4 linked regions of the Caenorhabditis elegans genome follow. The protein of the gene in region 4 interacts with the protein of the main gene of each other region in a pairwise test. Each region holds a gene or a part of one and is shown on either strand. Other genes may lie near its edges. The genes, in order: rimb-1, cat-4, scrm-2 and F19C7.8.

What was found.
Region 1: the proteins of F19C7.8 (region 4) and rimb-1 interact in a two-hybrid assay, tested with the Caenorhabditis elegans proteins (one large-scale study listed by BioGRID).
Region 2: the proteins of F19C7.8 (region 4) and cat-4 interact in a two-hybrid assay, tested with the Caenorhabditis elegans proteins (one large-scale study listed by BioGRID).
Region 3: the proteins of F19C7.8 (region 4) and scrm-2 interact in a two-hybrid assay, tested with the Caenorhabditis elegans proteins (one large-scale study listed by BioGRID).

What each region holds. Positions count from the first base shown.
Region 1 is NC_003281.10:1,785,671-1,792,286, reverse strand, and holds the start of rimb-1 (Variant SH3 domain protein), read right to left. Parts: upstream 3,955-6,616; 5' UTR 3,882-3,954; intron 3,251-3,881; 5' UTR 3,204-3,250; coding exon 2,833-3,203; intron 1,499-2,832; coding exon 1,369-1,498; intron 1,198-1,368; coding exon 1,125-1,197; intron 1-1,124.
Region 2 is NC_003283.11:10,562,384-10,567,870, reverse strand, and holds cat-4 (GTP cyclohydrolase 1), read right to left. Parts: upstream 2,992-5,487; 5' UTR 2,958-2,991; coding exon 2,795-2,957; intron 2,228-2,794; coding exon 2,132-2,227; intron 2,085-2,131; coding exon 1,887-2,084; intron 1,829-1,886; coding exon 1,614-1,828; 3' UTR 1,432-1,613; downstream 1-1,431. Other genes in the region: vps-54 (Vacuolar protein sorting-associated protein 54), read left to right, coding at 1-370, 424-617, 662-1,067, 1,114-1,216. UniProt on the Caenorhabditis elegans protein: Involved in serotonin and dopamine biosynthesis that affects movement, mating behavior, foraging behavior, and cell migration.
Region 3 is NC_003279.8:13,232,734-13,238,284, forward strand, and holds scrm-2 (Phospholipid scramblase), read left to right. Parts: upstream 1-2,614; 5' UTR 2,615-2,633; coding exon 2,634-2,996; intron 2,997-3,160; coding exon 3,161-3,403; intron 3,404-3,446; coding exon 3,447-3,549; intron 3,550-3,593; coding exon 3,594-3,652; intron 3,653-3,707; coding exon 3,708-3,737; 3' UTR 3,738-3,930; downstream 3,931-5,551. Other genes in the region: ZK1053.2 (uncharacterized protein), read left to right, coding at 1-220, 268-343, 394-857, 1,414-1,667, 1,718-1,927.
Region 4 is NC_003282.8:4,633,852-4,640,132, forward strand, and holds the start of F19C7.8 (SH3 domain-containing protein), read right to left. Parts: upstream 4,245-6,281; coding exon 3,941-4,244; intron 3,120-3,940; coding exon of another isoform or gene 2,983-3,119; intron 2,939-2,982; coding exon of another isoform or gene 2,729-2,938; intron 2,683-2,728; coding exon of another isoform or gene 2,478-2,682; exon of another isoform or gene 2,450-2,477; intron 2,111-2,449; coding exon of another isoform or gene 1,977-2,110; intron 1,932-1,976; coding exon of another isoform or gene 1,719-1,931; intron 1,673-1,718; coding exon of another isoform or gene 1,600-1,672; intron 630-1,599; exon of another isoform or gene 561-629; coding exon of another isoform or gene 427-560; intron 384-426; coding exon of another isoform or gene 165-383; intron 119-164; coding exon of another isoform or gene 1-118. Other genes in the region: R105.1 (uncharacterized protein), read left to right, coding at 1-118, 165-383, 427-560; R105.5 (Vitelline membrane outer layer protein 1), read left to right, coding at 2,478-2,682, 2,729-2,938, 2,983-3,119.

The sequences.
Region 1 (6,616 bases), on a different chromosome or scaffold from region 4:
GGCTCTTTTCAATATAAAAGAAGCTTCCTCCCCCTCCCCATTTTTTTCCTTTTTTCTCTCCACGGGTCATCTGTCAGTTCAGATTAGCTGTGTGCTGCCTACTACTGCTCACGGAGCACACACACACACACACTTTGTGAGCCCCCTTTCCAAATGGAATTAGTGCTGGTGCTCTGCGTCTCCGTTTTTTGCCCATTTTTGGATATGGGGCCCCCACGGAAAATGAATTATTCAAAAAGTTTTGAGGCTTTATTCTTTTATAAATTTTATAGATTCAGTGCAGATATTAAAGAAATAAATTATAAATCTGGGAAATTTTATATTTATTTTTTTATTTTTTCACTAAAATTTCTTACTTCCAATAAATTTTAAAATTTACTTCAGAAATTCGTTTTTTCTACATTTTCAGCTTCGAAATGAGCCCCATATTGGCTATAATCCGCCTGTTTTAAAAATTGGGAAAATTTCTGGGTCCCACCACGAAAACCCGTTGGGTTACTGTAGATCCAAATACCGTGCTCAAGTTTAATTTTAAACGAATTTTCAACACGTTTTCATACGTTTTGAAAAAAAAATTGTGCTAGAATCTTGAAAATTGAAAAAGTTACGGATTTTCGAAACTTTTCGCGGCGAGACCCATCAAAAGTAGGCGGAGCCTAAAAGAGACAACGACTGTACCAAATTCAATAATTTTAGCCAAATATATCTTCCATGAAAGTTTACGAAATGTAGATTTTTCAAAAAATCAACACAATAATTCTAAAAATTTTGGAATTTTTCGAAAATCTGTAACTTTATCAATATCTGAGATTTTCAGCTGATTTTTAGCCTAAAACATGTGTTTTAAGTTTGGTTACTTTGCAAAAATACAAAAAGTCAAAGACATCTATCACCTACAGTACCCCCAGAGTTTTCGTGGCGCGACCCGGAAAAAATTTCGAAAACTGGGCTTTTCATCGGAGCCTAGCCGATATGGGTGTTAAATTGAAGCTACTGGCAAGAAAAAATTGAATTATTAGTTTTCAAGAGCTTATCTCGAAAATTGGCTGAGTAGCGGCTCGATATTTGAAAATTTCGAAAAAAAAAAATTTTTTTTCGAGAATGTTTTAAAATTTTCAACTCACTCCTAGGCGTTTCGTTGTTCTTGATCTCTTGTACAGTAACTTTTGTGACGTCAGCTGGTGGGTAAGGGCAAACCTGAAAAATTTGAAAATTATATATTTTTGAAAAAATTAATTTAAAAAAATTTCAAAAAAAAAAAAATTCCAGAAAATTTTTTAAATTTTTTTTATTTCAAAATTGCTTTTCAAAACTGAATTTGAAAGAATTTTTAGCCAAATTTTCTTTAAAAATTCCTCAAAAACTTACAGAATCGGGTAGTGTTGAGTGATCCGGAGAGGAGAAGTCGTGTGTGATTGTCGAGAAATGTTGGGGTATTCGAAGCGGGAATGATGGTGATGGAGCCCGTGCATTTGCCAGGAGCACTGAATCCGGAACTCTGAAAAGATTTGGTTTTATTTTCTAAATTTTGGAGAAATAAAAAAATTTAGAAAAAAAAGTTTTTTAAATTTTTTTTTTTTTTGAAAATTATTCTTAAAATTATTTTCATTTTCCTTATTCAAAATATAAATTTTTTTCGTTTTATTAGAAATTCACCGCGTTGGGAGCTTCAAAATGACCCCAACACATGCCTATATCCTTTTAATTTTAAAATTTGGGTCCCGCCACGAAAAGCCCCAGGGAACTGTAGTTTTCGAGTTTTTCAGAATTATATTATTTTTGCCATATTTTTCAAATACTCACAATTGTTATACATTTTAATTCAAGTTAAAATCTCAAAAATGAGAAAAGTTATGGATTTTCGAAACTTTTCCGAAAAAATTTTCCAATGGAAAGTTCAAAATCTACCGTAACCCTGAGGATGCTGACAAAAAAGTTAAACTAATACAAAATTCAAATTTAGTTTTTTGAGACCTTTCATTTGACCCCCATCATGCCTAGGTTCTTGGTAAAATTGAAATTTTTTGAATTGTTGAGTCCCACCACGAAAATTTTCAAAATTGGCGGAGCCTGGGAATGTTGGCTGTCAAATTAAAGCGAATAGCGTGAAAAATTCGAAAATAATGGTAAAATAGAAAAAATCAAACTTTTTTTCGTGTTACAGAATTTTTAAATATTTTACAAAATTAAAAATTTTGATTTTTTTGAATCTTTTCGAAAATCCGTAACTTTGTCAATTTTTATGCTACTCAGCACAAATTTTTTACAGGGTATATGAAAAGTTTTCAAAAATTTATTAGAAATATAAAACTGCAAACTTTCCGTCTAAACTACAGTAGCCGGTGGAGTTTTCGTGGTGAGACCCGAATTTTCAAAGTATGGCGGATTACTATTTTGAAGCTGAGATTATGCTCATTCTGATTATTTACAGAAAACATGGTTAAAACAAAAATTAAAAAAAAAAAACTTTTTTGAACAAAAAAAATTTTTTTTCCTCAAAAATGATCGAATTTTCACATAAAACCTGCTCCAATGAACTCGTCTCGTTGAGACCTTTAAAATGACCCCCATATCGGCTAGGTTCCGTCATTTTTGAAAATTTTCGGATCCCGCCACGAAAACTACAGTACCCCTCCGTGGTGGGACCCGGAAATTTCAAAGTTGGCGGAATATAGCCAATATGGGGGTCATTTGAAAGCTCTGAACACAGAGAATTCGAATTTTGTATTTTCAATCTCAGACTCCGAATTTTAAATCTTTTTTCACGGGAAAAAGTGAGATTTCGCCCAAAAAAGTATAAAAAGCTCAATTTTTAAGCTTCAAAATGCTCACCTCTCTACATAATTTGATGGTACCAGTCCCTGACGTCCATCCAGCGTTTCCCCACAATAAAATCCATCCGAATCCATTTCCCCTTTCACCAGAACCACATCTCCCGGCTGAAGGCTCAGCTCGAGCTGTGGATTCTCGTTCGGCGAATCCCTTAACGGTAGATATTGAAAAAGGGCGCGAAAAACGCGAGAATTGGGTCTCGAACGGAGTTGCAGGAGCAACGCGTCACTCGTCGGTGGTACTGTAGACGCGGATGACGTCGTGGGACCCAGATGGTTGGTGAACGAGGTCGACGGGCCTGGCACCATGCCATAGGAGGATGCGGGGGGTGGTGGGGGCGGCGGACCGGGTCCCGACAGACCGCCCAGCATTCAGTTGGTGACTAGGTGGTCCGCCTTGTTGTAGGGACCCCACGAACCTGAAATTAATAATTTAAATTTTTGAAATTTTTTTTTTGGATTTTTTTTTGGATTTTTTTTTTGGATTTTTTTTTTTTTTAATTTCAAAAAAAATTAAAAACTCAATTTAAAGCTTTGTAACCTAAAAATTTGAATTTAGCCCTTCGAGACCTTTCATTTAACACCCATCTTGGCTAGGCCCCGACTATTTTAAAAATTTGGGTCCCGCCACGAAAAGTCCCGGGGTACTGTGTAGAATGTTAAATATATTTTTCTAAAGCTTTTCAAAGAATTACAAAATTTTCGAAACTAAATTCAGGTAGAAAAAATTAAAATTCGCAAAGTTATCGATTTTCGAAAATCTTCGAAAATCTTCGAAAATCCATATTTTTATTATTTTTTAAGATTTTTTCTCAATTTTTAGCTCAGATTGTGTCAAAATTATCAAAAAAAACTAGGAAAAATAAGACTAACCCAAATTCACCAAGACTACCAAACCCTACAAGTTTTCGTGGCGAGACCAAATTTTTTCATATTTATTAGAACCTAGGCAATATGGGGCTTATTTTGAAGCTCTCAGCGTGCTGAATTCAGATTTTCTAGTCCTGACACAGCATAATTGTCGACAACAAGAAAAACGGTCCAACCTACCGCCGAATGATGGTGTAGACGATTGATGGTTGTTGTTGGAAGAGGCCACGATGTTAGATCCCGGTGGGCGCCTGCAGGAATTTTTATTTTTATTTTTGGGGTAACTTGTTGGAGGGAAATCCACGGGTGAATAGAGAAAAAAATATTTGGGTCATAAATGGGCGGGGCCTAAATGGGCGGAGCTTAAAACTGGGCGGGTTTATAATGACACATTAAACATTGGAAAAAGAGATTTTTGAAAAATTATTACTCTATGAAACTGTAAATTTTTTTTTTGAACTTCAGGTAAATGGACAAAAAAAAATTAGTCAATAAAGGGGCGGAGTCTGGGTAAGAAAAGGGCGGAGCTTGCAAATTATTCAGACATTTCTATTTTAGGAAAAAAACTTTTCATACAAAAACCAACTAAAAATCGTTTGAAAGAGAAGCTTTTATTTTTTATTTTTTTTTACAAGAATTTTTCCAACAAAGGGGCGGAGTCAAAAAGTGGGCGGTGCTTGTAAACTGTTTAGAAATTTTCATCAATTTAGAAAAAAACTACTTCATTAAAAAAAAATTGTTTCAATTTGAATTTTTATTTTTATTTTTTTCAAGAACTTTTGCCAATAAGGGGGCGGAGTCAAAAAGTGGGCGGGGTCTGTGCGAGAAGTAGGCGGAGCTATATATATATATAGGTGGGGCTTTTGAGCAATTCAAAAAATTTTTATTAAATTTTTTTTTAATGTCGTTTGAATTTGAAGTTTTTTCTTCATTTTTACGAGTAGCCTAATAAACCGAATTTATTTTAAAACCAAAGAAAAATAAATGAGCACCCACATACGGGCAAAAAAGAGCACAAAAAGAGAAGAAGCTGGAGTGCAAGAGAGCCCTCCGCCCCGTAAAAAGTAGTGGGACTAGTCAATGGAGAAATAGAAGCAGAGACGGAGAAGAAGCGGGGGGACGGAGAGCACGTAAACTACTTTTATCGACTTCCACTCACAGACCACTTGTCTGAGAGCCCGATGTACTTGGCGAAATTTGCCGGGAAATTTGCCGAAAAATTGCCGAAATTTGGAAGTTTTTTGCCAGAAAAAGGTACAGCTAAACTAAAACTAAGATATCTCGAAAACTAAAAAAGGTATCAAAAAATTGTCAACATACAAAATGTGCATATTTTTGTGCTCTATATTTTGTTAGTTGACAATTTTTTGATAACTCTCACAAGAACAAAGTTATGGGGGTTTTAAAATAGAGGAGAGCAAGGAGAGACGCAGATTGCGAACTGAAACACCTAAATCTCAGCTGATAAGAAAGTTGTCAAAAATTTGTTAACTAACAAAACAATAAGCGCAAAATTCTACGTATTTTGTTAATTGGCGCCGACAGGGAAAAAAGTTACAACAAGTTTAAAAAAATTCGAAATTAAAAAAAAAAAAAAATTTTTTTGAAATTTTAATAAAAATTTTCAAATTGTAAGGAAAAGCTGTTGGATATTTTTGATTGGAAAAATAATGTTTAAAAGTACATATTACATGATTTGCGTACCGTGGGAAAGTTTGGAGCACAAAATTAATAAAAGAGGTTTTTTTTTTTAATATTTCATCTGAAAAAAGTTGCATTTTCAGACGGTGAAGCCTTTATTTAAGCTTAGATTATTAAAATTTAAGAAAAATGAAAAAATATTTGTGTACTAAAAATGCACTAAGACAGCTTTGAAATTGCTCCAAAATTCCAGAGAAAATAAATGTGAAAATTTAATTTTTTTTTTTTTGAAAGTTTTTCAGCTGAAAAAATTGAATTTCCAGACGGTGAAGCCTAAATTTAAGGTTTTTATTATTAAGATAAATTTTTTTTTATGTATGCCCGAAAAATGCACTAAGACATCTCAGAATTGCTCCAAAATAAAAAAAAATTTACGCTCAGAAGCTCAGAATTAATAAATTGCCAATTGAAAACAAATTGTTTTCCAAAATATTCCAATTTTTAAAGATATTAGAAACATTTTTTTAAAAAGGCGAAAGTTTCAAAAAAATTTTAATTCACTACAAAACCCTTTTTTTTAATTTTGCACCTAAATTGCACGAAAAATGCTCCAAAAAAACTTTCGAAAACCTAAAAATAGGATTTTCAGCCTAAAAAGTGCACTGAACAAGCTGAAAATGTTGCTCCAAAGTTCTGGAAAAGTTCAAAAAATGCTCCAAAGGTGCACACACACACACACACCCAGATGTATATACTACATGGAGAGCAAAACAAGGGGCGAGACCGAGGCAAGAAGAACTAAAAAGCGAAGAAGAAAAAGGAGGAGGAGGTCCTCTCGGGCTCCGCGCGGAGCCCCCCGGAGCAAGAAGTGCTCTGGCATGAGCGTGTGTGTGTGTGTGTGTGTGTGTGCAGCAGAAAAGAAGAGAAAAAACGAGTGTCGAGACACGCAGAGATGCAGAGAGTGTGCGCCTTTAAATGGGCTGAAGCTGCTACATGCTCACGGAGCACACACACACACACACAGCGCCCCGGGGACGAGGAGGAGGAGGACAGCGACGTCTGGATGAGCTTCAAGGAGAAGAGGGGGGGGGGAGGGGGGGGGGGGCAGTGAGCCCCCTCACTTTTTTTTTTTTTTTTTTTTTGGGAAGAGAGGAAGAAGCAGAAGAAGATGGAGAAGAAGAGGAAAACTGCTGGCTCTGTTGTGCTACTGCTGCAGGAACGTTTAAAAATAGAGAATGACAGGCATACCTATGGATCATGAAGAGTCCCTCTTT
Region 2 (5,487 bases), on a different chromosome or scaffold from region 4:
AATTTCAATCCAAGTGTGACAAGGAAGGATGGTATTCCACTCAGAATCAAAAAGTTGGAGGTCTTGGAAGATCTGTTAACAAGCTTTCTATGGATTACATTGAAAAATTCCATGCAGCTCGAAAGATTCGTATTGGAAATATGCTTGACACAGAACTTTGGAAAGCGACTGATGTTTCGATTGTGGATCAGAACATTGTCGACATGGCGATGGAAACGGGCCAATTAAGAAACACAAAGCGAATAGATGATGGTCCAATAAAAAAATCATTCAAAAGAACAGAAAGCGCTGTGACAATTGATTCAACAACATCTACTTCAAATCAAATTCAAGGTGTAATTGTTGATGAAGAGAACTATGTTGTTGTTGGGTTTGTTTCAAATTTTGGATTTAGGATTACGAATATTAATATTTTAATTTCAGATCATCAATAACAATGATCCAGCTCCTTTCTGACTACTGTGAAGCCATATCTGAAATGCCATCATTTTCCCAAGACTGGAATTCGCGAGTTGTGGAATTACTGAAAACATTTAACAGTCGGTGTTGTCAATTGATTTTAGGTGCAGGTGCCCTACAATTGGTTGGATTAAAGACTATATCTGTTCGAAATTTAGGTATTGCTCTAAAGTTTTACCGTAAAAAGTGTTCTTTTTTCCAGCACTCGCAGGTCGATCACTCGAGTTAGTATGCCGCTTCATTCCGATGGTTCATGATGAGATGGACAGAGTTCTTCCTGAAAATCGAAAAAGTCTGCTTCGGTACTTCAAGCAGGTTGAAAGTGAATACCGCGATCACGTCAACGAAATTGCTGCCAAATTAATAAGTGTAATAGCTCATTATACAACAAATTGTCTTGGAATGTGGGATGTGAAAGGAGTGATTCCATCGCCAGAATTTCAACAAATTTGTCGCCATATGCTGAAATTCCACAATGGACTGGTTGGCATCATGCCAAGAGATCAGATCGAGGCGTTGTTCCGTCAAGTACACGAAAACTTTAAAGCCAACTTACGAGAACACGTCACTGGAATGGGTATCACACCTCATGACCCTTTAAAATACGGGTAAGAATAAATTACTGAAATTTCAACTATAATGTACTATTTTCAGATATGTCACAAAAGATTACATGTTTTATCAACAAAATGTGAAAAACATGGAAAGTTGCCGTAATTTGGAGCTCGAGTCGCTTAATGACATTATGTTTGAATAGGACTTTTCTTTGTAAAATATTTATTTAATTTTCAATCTGGTTTATTTCTTGTGTATGATTGTGATTGTTTGACTAATTACGGTGGCTTTTATTTCACGCTTCTTCTGTAAACTTCCCCAATTCACTGGTCCTTCATTCCTAATTTTTTAGTTTGTGCTTCTGGGCTAGCTTTATCACTTTCATTTCCCAGTTAATTGTTTTTGTTTTTATTTATCTGGTATTTAGTAATTTATTGCATGTACAATAAAAGCATATTACAGTATCCAGGCAATGAACATGTTGTATGAATTTAAAAAGCTGAAGCATAAGATGTTAGTAGATTCACATGGAAAGTTATGAAAAGTTAGTAACAGTTAAAACCCAAAAAAACAAGTAAAAAAGGAAATGACTAGAATTTTTAGCGTTTGTTGATAAGATTAAGGAATTCTTCGCGAGTCTTTGGATCGTCACGGAATACTCCCAACATGCAGGATGTTGTGGTGGAAGCATTGATCTTTTGAACTCCTCTCATTACCATACACATGTGACTAGCTTCAATAACAACTGCAACTCCGGATGGTTGTACAGCTTGAACCATTGCGGTGGCAATTTGCTTTGTAAGACGTTCTTGGACTGAAATATTTGAACGTTTAGGTTAGGTTCCAATCAAAAATGTAATTTCTCAATTTACCTTGAAGTCTTCTGCTGAACATCTCGACTATTCTTGCCAACTTGGACAGACCAAGAACCTTCTTGTTTGGAATGTATCCAATATGAACTTTTCCCATAAATGGAACTAAATGATGCTCACAAAGGGAGAACATTTCAATATCTTTCACAATAACCATCTCATCGTGATCCTCGTCGAATACTGCCTCGTTGAGGAGCTCTGAAAAATGAAACTTTGAGCTTTAACGTTGTATTGCTATAACTGACCATCAAGTTGATCATCGTATCCCTTTGTGAATGCCATCATTGCTTTGGCAGCACGTTCTGGAGTTTTCAGAAGTCCCTGACGATTGATGTCTTCTCCTGAATTCCCAAAATCAGTCAACGTGGGAAAATGTATTTTGTTTTCATTTTTTCCCTTATAATCAACGGACACAACCTATTTTTTTCTGATTTATGTTATAGATATATCAATTGAAATCACAAGTTCCTGATGATGTGCTAGGGTACCTTGATTGCGTGATGTAATAGATTACAATTTGTCATGAGTCTTTAAATTAAAACAATTTTCGATCTTGATTTTTGATTTGAGAGTGGAATATATTGAACTGAACTTCCTTCCAGACAATAACAACTATCAGTTATAGATCATCGACTTTCAAAACATCTTGGTCAAATTTATATTTGGGAAAATATTTATCAATATTCTTTGAGTCACTGATAATGAATAAATGCTAAAACATTATAATCTCTAGAATGAATCAAAAAGTGTGTTGAAATGTTTATCGAAACCAAAGTTTTCCTAATTCTGCTGACGTAAACAGTTGACAGTACGTTTTCAGAACTCTATAATCTATTCTTAAACAGCTTATTTTAAATTTGTTGTTGATCGACTAATACTTTCCGAACCAAAGAATCACATGAACTCACCGACATGTTGAATGATGCTCTGATAGGCATTGCACATTGATTTCAAATGATCTTCCTTTGGAATCGTTCCGTTTCTTTTCTTCATCTCAACTTTATCGTCTTCGGATCCAACACTTGCGGCGTCAGATGACAAAAATCCGCTTTCGTTCTCAATTCTGGACATTTTGATATTATGATGTTGATAGAGTGGGTAAAGCCTGAAAACATTGATTGAGTAAGTGAGTGAAATAAGGTGATATTGAAAATGAGCCGTGGGTAAATCTTAAGAAAGCTGAGAAAGCGTAGGCGACAAAAAGAAAGGATAGACATTCAAATAATTGCCGGATGAAACCGAATATGTGCAATGTCCAAGCAAGAAAGAAGAAATTACGAAAAAAAAAGGTACAACACGTCATGTATTATGAAAGGTATTCTGGGAAAAAATAGGCAAAATGAAGGGACAGAAGGAAATCAATCTAGTCGAATGGATAGACTTCATCATCTTTTCCCACTTATGTGAAAAAATGAGAAAAAAAGAATAAGAAAATAGCAAAAAATCGAAAAAGAAACGGAAGACGTCGTCCCATACATCAATCGTTTTCCGCCATTCCTTCATGGCAGCACTTCTAGGTATTCAGGAAAATGTGGAGGAAGAATAATTTATTTATGCAAACAAAAGGAACATGTAAAAAGAAAATGAAACCGATTGATTAGGTGGATAGGCGCAACAAGAAAAGAAAAAGTGGACTGGTCTGAGGAGATACAGAGAGAAGGATCGTAAATCAGCGAGGAATGATATAGACCTTCACTCACGTGGACTTCTAGTTCACTATCAGTTTTGTTGCCGAAACTTTGGCAGATTAATATCTACAAGTTACTCTTTCATGCACTACAATCGAAAAAATTGAGAAACTTTATATTCAAAACGAAATTTGGAATTTATCAAACTTCACATATATTTCTCACGAAATTCATCAAATGGTCCTCCTGGGAAGTTATTTAAAAACAATAATAGGATCACATGTGGTAGAATATACTCCTCCTATTTTTAAAACTCATCACACCTAATAATATTACTCATCGAAACAACCAATCTGAAAAATAAACTAGATTCTGGCAAAAAAATTACTAATGAGTTTAGTACAACACAGAAACCGTGTTAAACTCTCATATATACTGCCAACAGCCACAAAAATAAAATACAATTTCTAATATTTCACCATGTCAAAAAAGTAGGACCTCAAATTTGGGAACGATTTCATTCAACAGTTTCGGTTTTCAAAAATTGTAAAATTTTAACTACTTTCCTTTCTAAGTCATCATCAGGTGGAAAAATGAGAAAGTAAAGAAAGAAAATGAAAAGAATTGAGGGGTCTAAAGAAGTACACTCACTTTCTTCTATTCTTCTACTTAACTACCTACATAAGAATTTCGTTGAAACAGTTAAAGCTAGTAGAAAGATCAAACCCACGCCTTTTTTTTCCCGGCAGACTCGATGTGTTTTGATGACATTCACACGAAATGACGAGAACGGTTCCAAAATCAGCTGAAGATGAGGGAAGAGGCGTTTCGAACTTGTAAATGTTTTCCTAGTTTTCTAGTTCTTTTTCATCAGATATCGTTTCTTATATTTGCGATTTCTGGGCTGATTGGGTACAAGTTGGGAGGAGGTGATGACGAATGAAAACAAGAAAACTTGAAATACTATTTTGTTATGATCAGGATTTTTTGGGTTATTCGAAGTCTCTCATAACTTTTGGTTCTTCAGAGTTAGAGATTGAGAATCAAAAAGAACTATTTGAAAAAACTGAGCTATTGTCAATATTCTTGAAAAGTAAAAAATTAAAATCGAAAGTTGTTACTGAAAAGTACTGCCAAATAATACCGTAACACTCGTAGAGGAAGTTCCCCGCAATTTATTAGGTTGAACTATAAATAAGATAAGAGCATAAGCAAAATGCCGCCGCTAATGATGTACTACCAATTGAAGCCGCAATTTATATGGAGTTTATAATCATTGCATGATAAATTGGTTCAGGAACTTTGAATTGTCACCTTTGAGATAAGATCGTGCACAAAAGGAGTTTGCGGGATTAATTAAGTGACGGCGATTACGTCAGAAACATAGAGAACAAGTAACATAGAGAGTGTCCTAAGGAATACGGTTTTCTGACTGGTGATGATTTAGTGAACATCATCTTGCACAATTTTTTAGACTAGAATGTTCAATGGCGCGGTTGAAAGAGTCAATAGATTATGAACTGGATTATGTGATTTGGAATTATTTATTTTCCTGATAAGAATCACTTCAAACTTTTATTACCGCAAGTTTGACTTTATTAGACCAAACTCTACAGGCTTACCGTATATTCTCTATTAGTGCTGCACTAATTTTTGGGTTTTTTTTTTGAATGCATCACTTTTAAAAACTGCAGTACTACTTTAGAATGCAGAACTAATTTTCGAGCGCCTCTGTTCAATTGAAGGTCATTAGCATTTAGTTACGAAAGGTCACCTTTTTGAGCATAAATTAATTAAGATTGTGGGTTTTCGTATTTCAATTATGTATGTAAATAAACAACGAATCTTGTACAATTATACAAAACACTCAACAAAATGTCAAAAATATTTTGACTGTTGATATAAAAAGAGGTGCATTTCAGAAAAACCCCGTTAAAAGCATCATAAATTAATAATCATATATATTAGGAAAA
Region 3 (5,551 bases), on a different chromosome or scaffold from region 4:
CCGTCGGAATATTTGAATCACGAAAATGTGCAGTTCATTGTGTCCGTTTTCGGTGACGCCACGTGTTTTTTGAAAGCTTTTCAAAGTCAGTTCAACGGGAATTCGCGGAAAAAGAGCTTCTTCTACAATGGAATTCTTGTTAATTCAAATCTAACCAATTCAAATAATCAATCGATCAGAATGGTGATTCCGGATTTGGTGAAAGCAATTAACACAAGCAGTTAGTAATTTGAAGCCATCTGCCTTTTAAAAAATGTCTTTTTTCAGGAGTCTCCCTTGTAGGTTCCGACAAAATCAACGAGGTCCATGAAAGTGCTCATTTGGTTCAGAGTTATGCGAGCATGTATGTCCTGATCCTGTTCACCTTTGAAAATTATAAAAATTTTTATTCAGGATTCGAGATATCCTTCTTGGCAATAGTGTTCACGACTGGGAAGAAATTCTGACAACTACACTTGCTCCGGTGACGTCAACCATGCCCCCAACAGCAAAAAGAGCAGCATCGATAGACGATGAGGGAGAAATGTTGACGTTCGATGGTAGTGCGGATGAGGAAGTGGTGATTCCTCCATCAAATGCTACTAATTCGACGTCTACAATTGCTCCGACAACTCATACAATCCTCTCGAGCACAACAGAAGTGAAGACTACTAGAAAGCAATTCAAAAAGATTGTTCCGATTCCCAAACCATCGAAGATCCCGTCTCGTTCTTCGACAGCTCGTCCCACAACAACCACTGAAGAATACGATGCGGATACGGAAGAAGACGCCGAAAAACTTGAAATGATGTCAGGGAAGAGGAAAGTGGATAATGGAACTACTGTATATGTTCCCAGTGATCCGGATGCCCAGGAAGGTTAGAATTTGGCACGAGGAGTAGGCGATCACGCCTCGTCGATCTAAGGCACACTGAGCAGATCAGACCTAATTGCGACCTGCTCGGCAAACTCCACCAGCTTTCACGTAGTGCGCGTTTGAAATTTGGTAATTTGAGATTAATTGATAAAGGCCTAGTGGGTTTGCGCCGCCTGCGACCAAAGAATGATTGGACAGACTAGGAATCCCAGCTGAGTGAGGCGCGAAATGCGGGCCTCACGCTGATACCGCTGTGTATTCGAATGTGTATTCAAAATATATTCAAATGCAAAAAGGCAGTTATTTGAAGCAGCCGACACTGTCGGGGTTCACTATACATTCGGATACATGCGGCTTGAGTGACGCCGTGAGGCCGGCGCGGTGACCGCTGAGGCCAGCGGATGCGCCGTTGCGGCGACTTCATGGAAGCCCTAGCACATACCTATCTAAAATACTGCGCCAGAAAGCTGACAACATTCTGGAGAAAGTATCTACACTAACTATAAGTTAACTCGTCAGCACTGTTGCCAGCTATACCGTTACCAATTTTCTTACAGGAATCGATGCGAACATCCTTATCTACATCCTACTCCTTGTCCTTCTCATTTGGTGCTTCTGTATTGCCCTGTGTCTTATTTGGATGTACGTGTGTGCCAAGCAACGAAAACACAAGATGATCAGTAAAGCTGAAGAGGAACGTGAAGCTATGTTGGCACTTTTGGAGAAAGGACACGAGACGGAGCACAGTTCTCGTAGAGCTAAACCATCGGTTTCTGTGGAAAGTGATGAGTTTGATAAGGAGTGGAAAAATGTGAGTTACAAAAACAGTTATTGATTTTTTTTCCAATTTTTAAATTGCAGATCAAACCATCCAAGTACACCCCCGCTTCTGTTTCCACTAACGAAACTAAATCCGAATTGGAGAGTGTGAAGCAACCGGTTGCAGCTACCCATGTCGCTCCTGTAGAAGTTTCAGAGTTCGAGGAGAGGCTCGATGATGATGTGGATCATAAGCCAAGACATGGAGGATATGTTAAGACGAAGAGAACTGCTGACTTACATTTTGACTGAAAATGAATAAAGTTTATGAGGGAATTAAATGGAATGTTAGTTGATGACTCAGGAATAAATTTTCGATAATTCCCAAGAGAAATGTGGTGACCCCTGGTAGCTTCTAGGTAATTGCAAATGAATTCTCGTATGAAAATGTTATAAATTGAAAAAATTCTCTCAATTTTTAGTACACGAGTACCCTGAACCTTGTGCTGTTTTCAAAGTATGTGTGTCTAGCTTCCCTCTTCGTCTATGCGCCTCTCACTTTCCGAACACATTCGCTGGTCCCACTTTCTGAACCCGCTTTTTCTCTGTTTCATGTTTTTTGAGCATCAATAAAAACAACGAATGTTTCCTACTTTTGACCAGTTTTCCGGTTTCAACTGTTCAGCAATTTTTTTCGATCTAAAGCAATAGTTTTTACTGTAATTTCTGTAGTGTTTGAAGAAAACCCCACGGATTTATGAGTTATAAAATATCAATATGCGTTTTTAAGTGTTTATTTCGACGAAATTTTTTTTACCTCTATTTTTATCAGTTTTAGAGCTCGATGAGCCGAGTAAAATTATTGAGTAGTCAGTAAACTCTTTTATCTATTTTTTCTATTTTTGAGCACCAATTTTGTAACAAAATGAAATTTAAGAATTCGGACCAATCTTTGCTTAGTTAAGCGCAATTTCAAACAATCAGCAACCCGTTTTTTATAAGTTTCAGATTCGAAATAATGGATCAACTATTTTATAATGGACCACCTGATTACGTTGAAATTGAAGACCGAGCCATAACAACTGAACCAGGAGCTTCTATACAAGCAGCTCCCGGAGCAATTTGGATGGAAGCACTTCCAGCGATTGAGGGAATCCCAGCAGGGTTGGAATACCTTGCCTACTTGGACACGGTCATGGTGCATCAAGTGAAGGAGGTTCTTGAGATTCTTACTGGATGGGAGAGTAAAAATAAGTATGCTATTAGAAATAAAAATGGACAGCAGTGTTACTATGCGTTCGAAGAATCCAACGCTTGGGAGAGACAGTGTTGTGGATCGCAACGAGGTTTTACGATGCACATTGTGGATAATTTTAACAAGGTGAGTTATGGCCTAGAGATGCAGATTTCTAAGCCATGAAGCTTGAGTTCTTATCACTTTTTAACTCCTGATTATTTCATGGGATGTGTAATAATAGGAAAACATTCCTAAAGTTTCTTGAAAATTCTTTTAAATTAAGTTTTTAAAACATTTGTTTTGTTAAGAATGTGCTCATCGTCAAACGAGAATTAAGATGCTGCGCAGACTCATTTTGTGGATGCTTGCTAGGTCTTCAAAACATATGCACCATTGAATCACTATCAACTGGCCTTCTGGGTACTGTCCTTCAAGGATATGGTTGCACGAATTCATTCTATAACATTTTGGATAAAGATGGAAATCTGATTTTCCTAGTTGATGGTCAAGGATGTTGCACAAGTTGCTGCTGTGAAGATAAGGATTTTACGGTGACAAGACTTTGCCGAATTTAAAATACTCCATACTTTTCAGATCAAAACTCCCGACAGCTCCGTGCCAATTGGCTCAATAACCAAGAAGTGGGGTGGACTATTGCGTGAAGCGTTTACCGATGCCGACACTTTTGCAGTCACCTGTGAGTTAGTCTTGAAAGTGAAAGAATAGTTGAAAGAATTTCAGTTCCCATCGACCTTGATGTCAAGCTCAAAGCGATACTGCTGGGAGCCACATTTTTGATTGTGAGTTTTTGTGCTTCTTATCCAAAATTTAATTTAACTATTACTCTATTTTCAGGATTTCGTGGAGTTCGAAAATAATAACTGATGTGGAAAAACTGGAAATCTCGCAATGCACTTCTCGCTTGTTTTCTGCGATCAGAGCTCTAATTATGAAATGATAATGTGCTTTCTTTGTATGCATGTATATTAAAATAAGACATTTTGCAAACGCGCCGTTTGCATCGCTTTGCTTCTTTTCTTCAACATCTTCAAAATGAAATAAAATAATTATAATTATATCGCACTTCCAATAAGCGTAAAGCAAGAACGATTGAATATATAACGGAGAAAACTCCGATATTAAAAATCTAGAAATCTTTTGATTAAAAATCTTTCGGTAAACTGATAAATACAAATTTGGCCTACTTTTCACCTGTATCGTTACCACCGACATGCTCTACTGCCATGCACATCTCTTCAATTCCGTGATTTACGAGACGAGAGGCAATAAAGATCACAGTTACGTTTTTTAAAGATTACAACTTTTTCAACTTCTTAGATTTTCACGAATACTTCCTTGTTGCATGTCTACGAAGCAAGCCTGCTGCCGAACCCAATTCTTTCAAAACGAACTATATTCATTTTTCAACCCTTTTTGATAAGTTTATCTTTTGTTAAAATATAAGAAAATGTCTTCGGAAGATCCTATTTATTCACAAAACGAATCACTGTTGTTAGGCAGTTCTAACAAGTAAGTTTCTTTTTTTGCACTGCTAGTGAGCCCAAGATTTTCCAAATAAAAGATTAATTTTGGCCATTTTATATTCAAAAAATTTATTAAAGGAAGTAAAACGTTTATCGTTCAGTTTTTCACAAAAAAATATATACATAAAAATTTGCGAAAACTCTGAATATTTTTTAAGATCCCAAGCAAGTAATTCTTCTAAGACAATCGCTAAAAGAGCTACAGTATTCATTGGAATCTTGTTCATAACAACGCCAATTGTTTTTGGCTTGTCCGAAGTTGTTGGTAAGAATAATGAGGAAAGTGAGAAAAGCGATATATGTTAAATAATTAAGAAATGGATGTTTCAGGTTCTCCTAAAAATCAAACATCTGAAACCACTACAGCAGAAAATAATACAACTCGTGAGTGTTATATGTATTTTTCAGAAAATGATATGATAGTTGTCGTATTTTTTCGTGTGCGGCAAATTTGTTGAATTTGGAAATTTTGCCGTTTGCCGTGCAACGGCAAATTTCAAATTCTATTCATAAAGTCTATTCATAAAGTATTCATATAGCCCAAATAAACTGTATACTAAAGTATTTCCAGTTTCAGTTGTCCATCGTACATCCTTCAAAACACAGGAGAAGATGGTCCAATTGATTCCGAAATCAGGACAAGACTACATAAAATTCACTTATGACATAATCAAGGACACCTATTCTTATGATAACGTCGATGGAACCCCAGTTAGGCCAATTGTTGCTTCTAATATAGAGCGAGTCAGACAGAGAACATAACGAAGCATACTTACATCGCAAGAATTATCTCGAATATGCACAAGTAAGTTTTCAATTATATCAACAAAGTTTATTAATGAGTTTTAGATGCGTTGGTCGTTCAATGTGAAGAATGATGGAAAGAGAGTTGAAAAAATAATGTTTCAAAATTACCGGAACAGAACCACTTGATACTTTTGCCGTTGAAGCATTTCCTGAAGCTTGTTATTCAACAGGCCACAACGTCTGATAAACAGATTTATAAAAATTTCTAATATTACTTTTCAGATAAGTTGCACCTATTATCCGTTGAACGGATATGTTGAATCGGAAAAAGAAATTGAAAGTTTGAATATGAACGTAAGTATTTTCAATTCATGTCAAAATTTAGTTCAAAATCTATTCCAGTTTTTT
Region 4 (6,281 bases):
TGTCCTGAAGGCCTAGTGATCAACGGATACCAAGTCAAATCACAAACGAAGCAAGGCTGGTTCACATATGATTATGGTGTCACTGATATGGTTTTCTTTTGCAATACACCGGACGGAAGTAAGTATTATAATTGGTAAACTAGCTAATTCAATTTCATTTTTAGAGAACCAAAACACCGACAAGAATATTACCCGTGGAAATTTCTATCCATATGATAATGATATCTGGAGAAAGATTCAATGGTGCCCCACAGGAACTGTTGTTATCGGAATGGCAAATAAACTTGATTTCGGAAAATTTGACAACGCCGGTATCACCGACATTTGTAGTTATTGCGGACGTCCTGAAGACGACAGAACTAAGAAAACATATTCGGCCTGGGGTATGGTGGAATATCATTTTGTGTTTTAAGGTTTAATTTGCAGAGGATCTCAATACTCATGGTAGCTGGGCCCGGGATCAAATGTGTGATGTTGGATCGGCTTTGGCCAGTTTTTACCCTAAAATTTTCAAACCCCAAGCAATCCAATATATTACTTATGGATGCCGCAAAGTATAGAATAAAAGTTCATAGAACTGAACTACTTGTATTGTATTGTACTGTAATGAATATTTAAAAATGCAACTTATTCGCGTGTGTAATGAATCTTGCTTTTATTTCACCAATTTGTTGATAATTCCTTTATAACTTAAATTTCAATCTGATACTGCCACGACCCTTGAAATGTTTGCAAATTGTGCCGGGCCAAACTTAGTTGGAATTTTGGATATCATGGGAGTAAATATGCAGCCTACAATTTTTGAGATTTTCTGACATTTAAGTCCGATATAAATCTACTGATAAGTCAATGTCCAAACGCCATAATTTACGCGTTCTTAAAGAAGTAGTGGTGGATGTGCGGAAATTACTGAAATTTAAAGTTTCGATTCACCCACAAGAAAAACGGAAAAATTTAGTTAAGTGGGAAACAACCAGCTCAAATTCAATAAAAGGGCCTTAATTCAAAATTCGCGGCCACACGATTTCTCAATCATATTCGTTTAAAAAATTATTGATTTAAATGTAATTATTATTTTATTCGTTTTTTTCCCAAAAATTTGAGAAAGCTTGGACAAAGAAATTCTATAAAATATTTATTTAAAATTTATTCAACCAAATCTCTAGCTAAGTTTTGGAGGTTTTTTAAGGTTGTAATTTTCTAATTTCGAGTAATATGACTGAATACTACAACTTGAGACAATGAACTCACAGGTCTAAGTTTTGTTTTGATATTTGGTCATTTTAGAGGTATTAGGTTTTAACTATTTCTCACAGGTCTCACAGTACAGGAGTCTTTGAAAATAGTTTCAATCAATTAATCATTAACGTTGACACTTTCTAATTGAAAGGTCACGTTCTGGTAGTGAGTATATAAGATTTTCTAATCAATTGAAATAAATCAAATCAAATATTGTCTGTTGTAAACATGCCCCTGCTGAGTGTTCTGCTCACCCTCGCCGTGTTCTACACTACTGTCCATGGAAATGTACCAACGCGGGAGGACTTAGTTGCATGTCCTGAAGGCTTAGTCATCAACGGATTCCAACTCAAACTTTAACCGTTGCGAGGCCTTTTCGAGGCTGATCATGGTGTCACTGAACTCGTCTTTTTCTGCAATCCACCGGACGGAAGTAACTATTCTAATTAGTAAACTAGGTAATTAAATTTCCAATTTAGACAACCAAAGCCCCGATAACTTTATTGTAATAGACAATAATTCGCCATATGGATACTGGAGACAGATTACATGGTGCCCCAAAGGATCTGTTATTATTGCAATCCAAGAAAAAGTTGATTTCGAAAAACTTGACAACGCCGGTATCACCAACTTGGCTGCTAAATGCGGACGTCCACAAGACGACAGAACTGTTCAACCATCTTTTGCCTCTGGTGTGATAAAATAACATTTAGTGTGTTCTGAGATTGAATTTGCAGAGTTCTTCTATGCTCATGGTAAATGGACCCAGGAAAACTGGTGTGATGTTGGATCGGTCTTGGCCAGCTTTAACCCTAAATCTACCAGAAGACGAGGACTCGTAAGCGCTTGTTATGGATGCCGTAAAATCTGAACTGCTTTTTGTATTGCCTCTGGAACGAAATTTTAAAAAGGCATTCCCTCGAACTGTGCATTTACATGTATAATAAATTTCTAATCTGTCATCTTCTTATCTAAGCAACACAGAGAACTCTATTTATCAAATTTTTCAGTTATAGAAATGCCGCAAAGAACAAAGATTGTTAACATAAACGCCAGCTTTCTCGAACTTCCATTGAGTTTAGTCACTTCAGTTTAGTTGTGTTCAAAGTTTTGTTCTCCTATGTGGGCGTAGAATCGTCAAAATAACAAACAAAAACCTGAAAATTTTTAAGGAGCGAAAAAAATTAAAAGAGAAGAAGAAATTAATTTCACTCAATCAATTAATAACGGCTGCAACTATGCACCTGCTGATTGCACTGCTCATCTTCACCGTGTTCTACACTACTGCCCATGGGAATTTACCCACGCGGGAGGACTATATTGCATGTCCTAAAGGCTCAGTCATCAACGGATTCCAACTCAAACTTGAAACGAAACGAGGCGTTTTGAGCCTAGATCATGGTGTCACTGAACTGATTTTTTTCTGCAATCCACCGGACGGAAGTAACTATTCTAATTGGTAAACTAGCTAATTCAATTTCTAATTCAGATACCCTAAGCATCGATAACAAAATTGTCATTTACAATGATTCGCCATATGGATACTGGAGATCGATTCAATGGTGTCCCAAAGGATCTGTTATCATTGGAATCACAGAAAAAATCGATTCCGAAAAATTTGACAACGCCGGTATTACCAACTTTGGTGCTAGGTGCGGACGCCCAGAAGACAGAACTGAACAACCATCTTTTCTCTTTGGTATGGTGGAATATAACATGTGTGTTTTTTAATTTAATTTGTAGCCAAGCTCTACACTCATGGTAAATGGACCCTCCCGGAAAGCTGGTGTGATGTTGGATCGGCCTTGGCCAGTTTTAACCCAAGATTTACCAGAAGACGAGGGCTCGAAAGCGCTAGTTATGGATGCCGCAAAGTCTAGAATAATAGCAGTGGAATGAAATTTTAAAAATGCAACTAATTGAACTACGTCTTTATTTCAAGTTCACGTGTATAATAAATCTTTTTCATTTATTTACGTTAAAAAAACGTTTTTTTTTGTTAATTACAATTATGAGAGCATTAGAGAAATTGCCATAGCAGCAAATTTTTCAAAACATAAATCTAATTTGATTTTGAATTTTGGTGGTGTATGTTTCGTTTTTTCATGGAAAATTTTGTATAACTTAAGCCGAAGCTGCCGATCAATCATGTATTTCCAATTTGAGCTCATATCTGAAGAACCGTTGGGCTTTTGCTATAACATTTTGCAGGAAATTTTACACTCTTGAAATGACACAGATCAAGAAACACGATCAATATTTTTGAAAAAAAAAACTTCGGAGGTTTTAGTTCAGTTTTTTGTCAAGTACTACATAAATTTCCGAGTATCCATGGGAATAGTATCCTTAAAAGTGGGGCATAATAAAACATTTCAAAAAAGAGTTTTCAAAACTCAATCGAAATTTGGTAATTTGCCGAATCCTCCAAACATTTATAATTTTTAAAGAACTTTTATAATTTCTGCATGTTCAGAATGTTCAAATCTAGAATGTTCAAATAGCAACACTTTGAACGCAGCGCAATTGAAGTATGAAAAAGTCGTAAGAAAAAATATATGACTTCCAAAATTATGATAACCAAGTTTTCACTACTGTTTGACGGTACAATAAATTTCAAAAAAAAAATTGGAAGTCATTTTTAGAAGTCAAAACCACAGCACTCACAAACACAATAACTCCAAACATTTGCATAAAAACGTACCTCTTAATAATCTATGTATTTCAGACAGCGAAGATGTACATTTCTCAAGTGCACTTGTCATGGTTTTGTGCAACTGTTGATGATGTTGCTGTTGTTGATGAAGATGGTAGGGCTGGTGAGGAGGAAGTTGAGATAAGGACGGTGATGCGGTGATGGATGAAGTGGTAGTGGGGGTGGAAGCAGAGTGCGATCGGTGATGCAATGGAAGAGGACGAGAGGCTCCTCCAGCAGTGGTGGTCAGGTGGTGATGGAGGAACCAAGGAGGAGATGAACACCGTTGGCTTGATGATACTTTAAACTCCATTTTGCTCACACACACACAATGTTTCCTGCAAAGAGAGATTGATTGAGTATTTCTTGACTTGAGAACTTGGAAATTTGATGGATTGGAGAGAGTTCAAAATTTAAAGGTTTATATACTTTTATATTCTAGAAAAAAAACAACGATTTTTGAAAAACAATCAACTTCCCTGTCAATCACTGTGCAAAATGTGTCCTGGTTTTTAAAGTCTTTTACTGGATTGTTTTTGATATGTTTTTTGACGCAAAGTTCCAGGTTAGAGTTTTAAAACTACAAGTTACTGGTTTTGCGGTTTCTTTTTTTGAATTTTCAGTCACCAGAGGTTTGGAAAAGGCCTACCACACGCGCCGCATAAAATTAAAAATATATGTACTTTAGACTTGGTCCAAAAAAACTGATCACAAGACCATAGTATACTCAAAAAATTTAATTGGGCGGCGAGGTTCTCACGAGTTCTCGAATGACAAATCCCGACTTTTGAGCAGATACAAAATAGCAGAGAAACAGCTTAATTGTGATTTATGGAATTTGAGTTTTTAGTTTTGCAAAGAGTTTCGGGCCTAACAAAGCTCAGATTTTTTCTGATAAAAACTGGAAGGGAAAGTTTCGCGATTTGAGACCTCTTACATGAACGGGAACGATGAACCGGTTGATCTTTTTCAGGCATTTTTGTGCAATAGGAGGCATTTTGTGTAGGCAGAAAAATGGATGCCTGCCTGCCTGCTTGCCAACAAGGCTGCCTACACGCATGACGCTTTGAGCTACGAGTGCCAAGGGCTTTTAATATACATGAATGAGAGCACGAATTCGCTTAATTTATGTTTAGAAAGATAACTAATTTTTGTTAAAGTTGGGATTATATGTAAACCATAAAGCCTGCCTGCCTACAAGGCTGGCTACGTCTGCCTACACACGTAGCACAGTTTGAGTTATACACTAACGACCGAAAACTATATAGGTAAAAAGATATAAGTGTCCAGAGGCAAATGGAAGGCATATTAGAGGCGCCCAGGCGGAACGTCAAGGTACCAAGCATAGGCTTGAAGGTAGGCAGGCCTTTTTGTGGTAGGCTTATTTCAAACCTCTAGGAAAAGAAAATGTAGCCTAATATTTTTTCACTTTTAAAACTCATAAATCCTCTACTCAATTAGTACATTTGCTTTCTGCCGACAACTAATTTTCAAAAAAAGATGAGATAAAGATGAAAAAACCAAAAACACTGAGCTTCATCTTCTTCTCTTCCTCTATTTTTTACCCAAAACTACAAAATCTTCATCTCCGCCCATATCATCATTATCCACCCTCACTTTTTGATGTTCTGTGTAAAATCAGCTGTGTGTCGAAAGAAACGAAGAAGACAAAAAATGGAGAGAAATTTATGCGGCTGTTGTGTTTTTGTGTGTGCTGCCACAAATTTTCTCCGTGTTTTTTTTCGTACAATGCTCTTTTAGTACGTTGTCATCCTGATGGAATTTCGGAACGCGGCGAGAGCAGCTGCTCCGGCTTGCCCGGCGATGACCAATATCCGAATGGCTCGCAAGAACTCATTATTCTCGTTTTCTTCTGCTAAAGATTTCGAATAAATTGCACAATACCCTGAGCATTGCACAATTTTACACCTCTTCGCTTGATGGCTCAATTTTGTTTGGGGATATGGAGATAAATTACCTGGATTGAGCTAAGGAAGAGCGAAGAGTTTTGGGGTCCCGTTTGGATTTTAAATAAGCTATAAACTTTTGAAGACGGCGTTTTTATTGATTTATGCCCGCTTTTGTAGAAGTTCACATTGTTCAAAAAAAAAGCCAAAAACCTTAAAATTTGAAGCGACATGGTGCAAACGAGATGAGAATATTTTTCAAGTATTTTTACAAGCACCGCTCTTCAACTGTTCAGTTTTTTTCAAAAAAGAGCCAATGTCTGAAGAAACTCGTCACAGACCCAGCCATTTTCAAACTCAAATAACTCAACGGAGAAAGGAGATATCAAAAAATTGACAACTACAAAAATCTTTCCCGTGTAATTTTGCACATTTCGTCAATT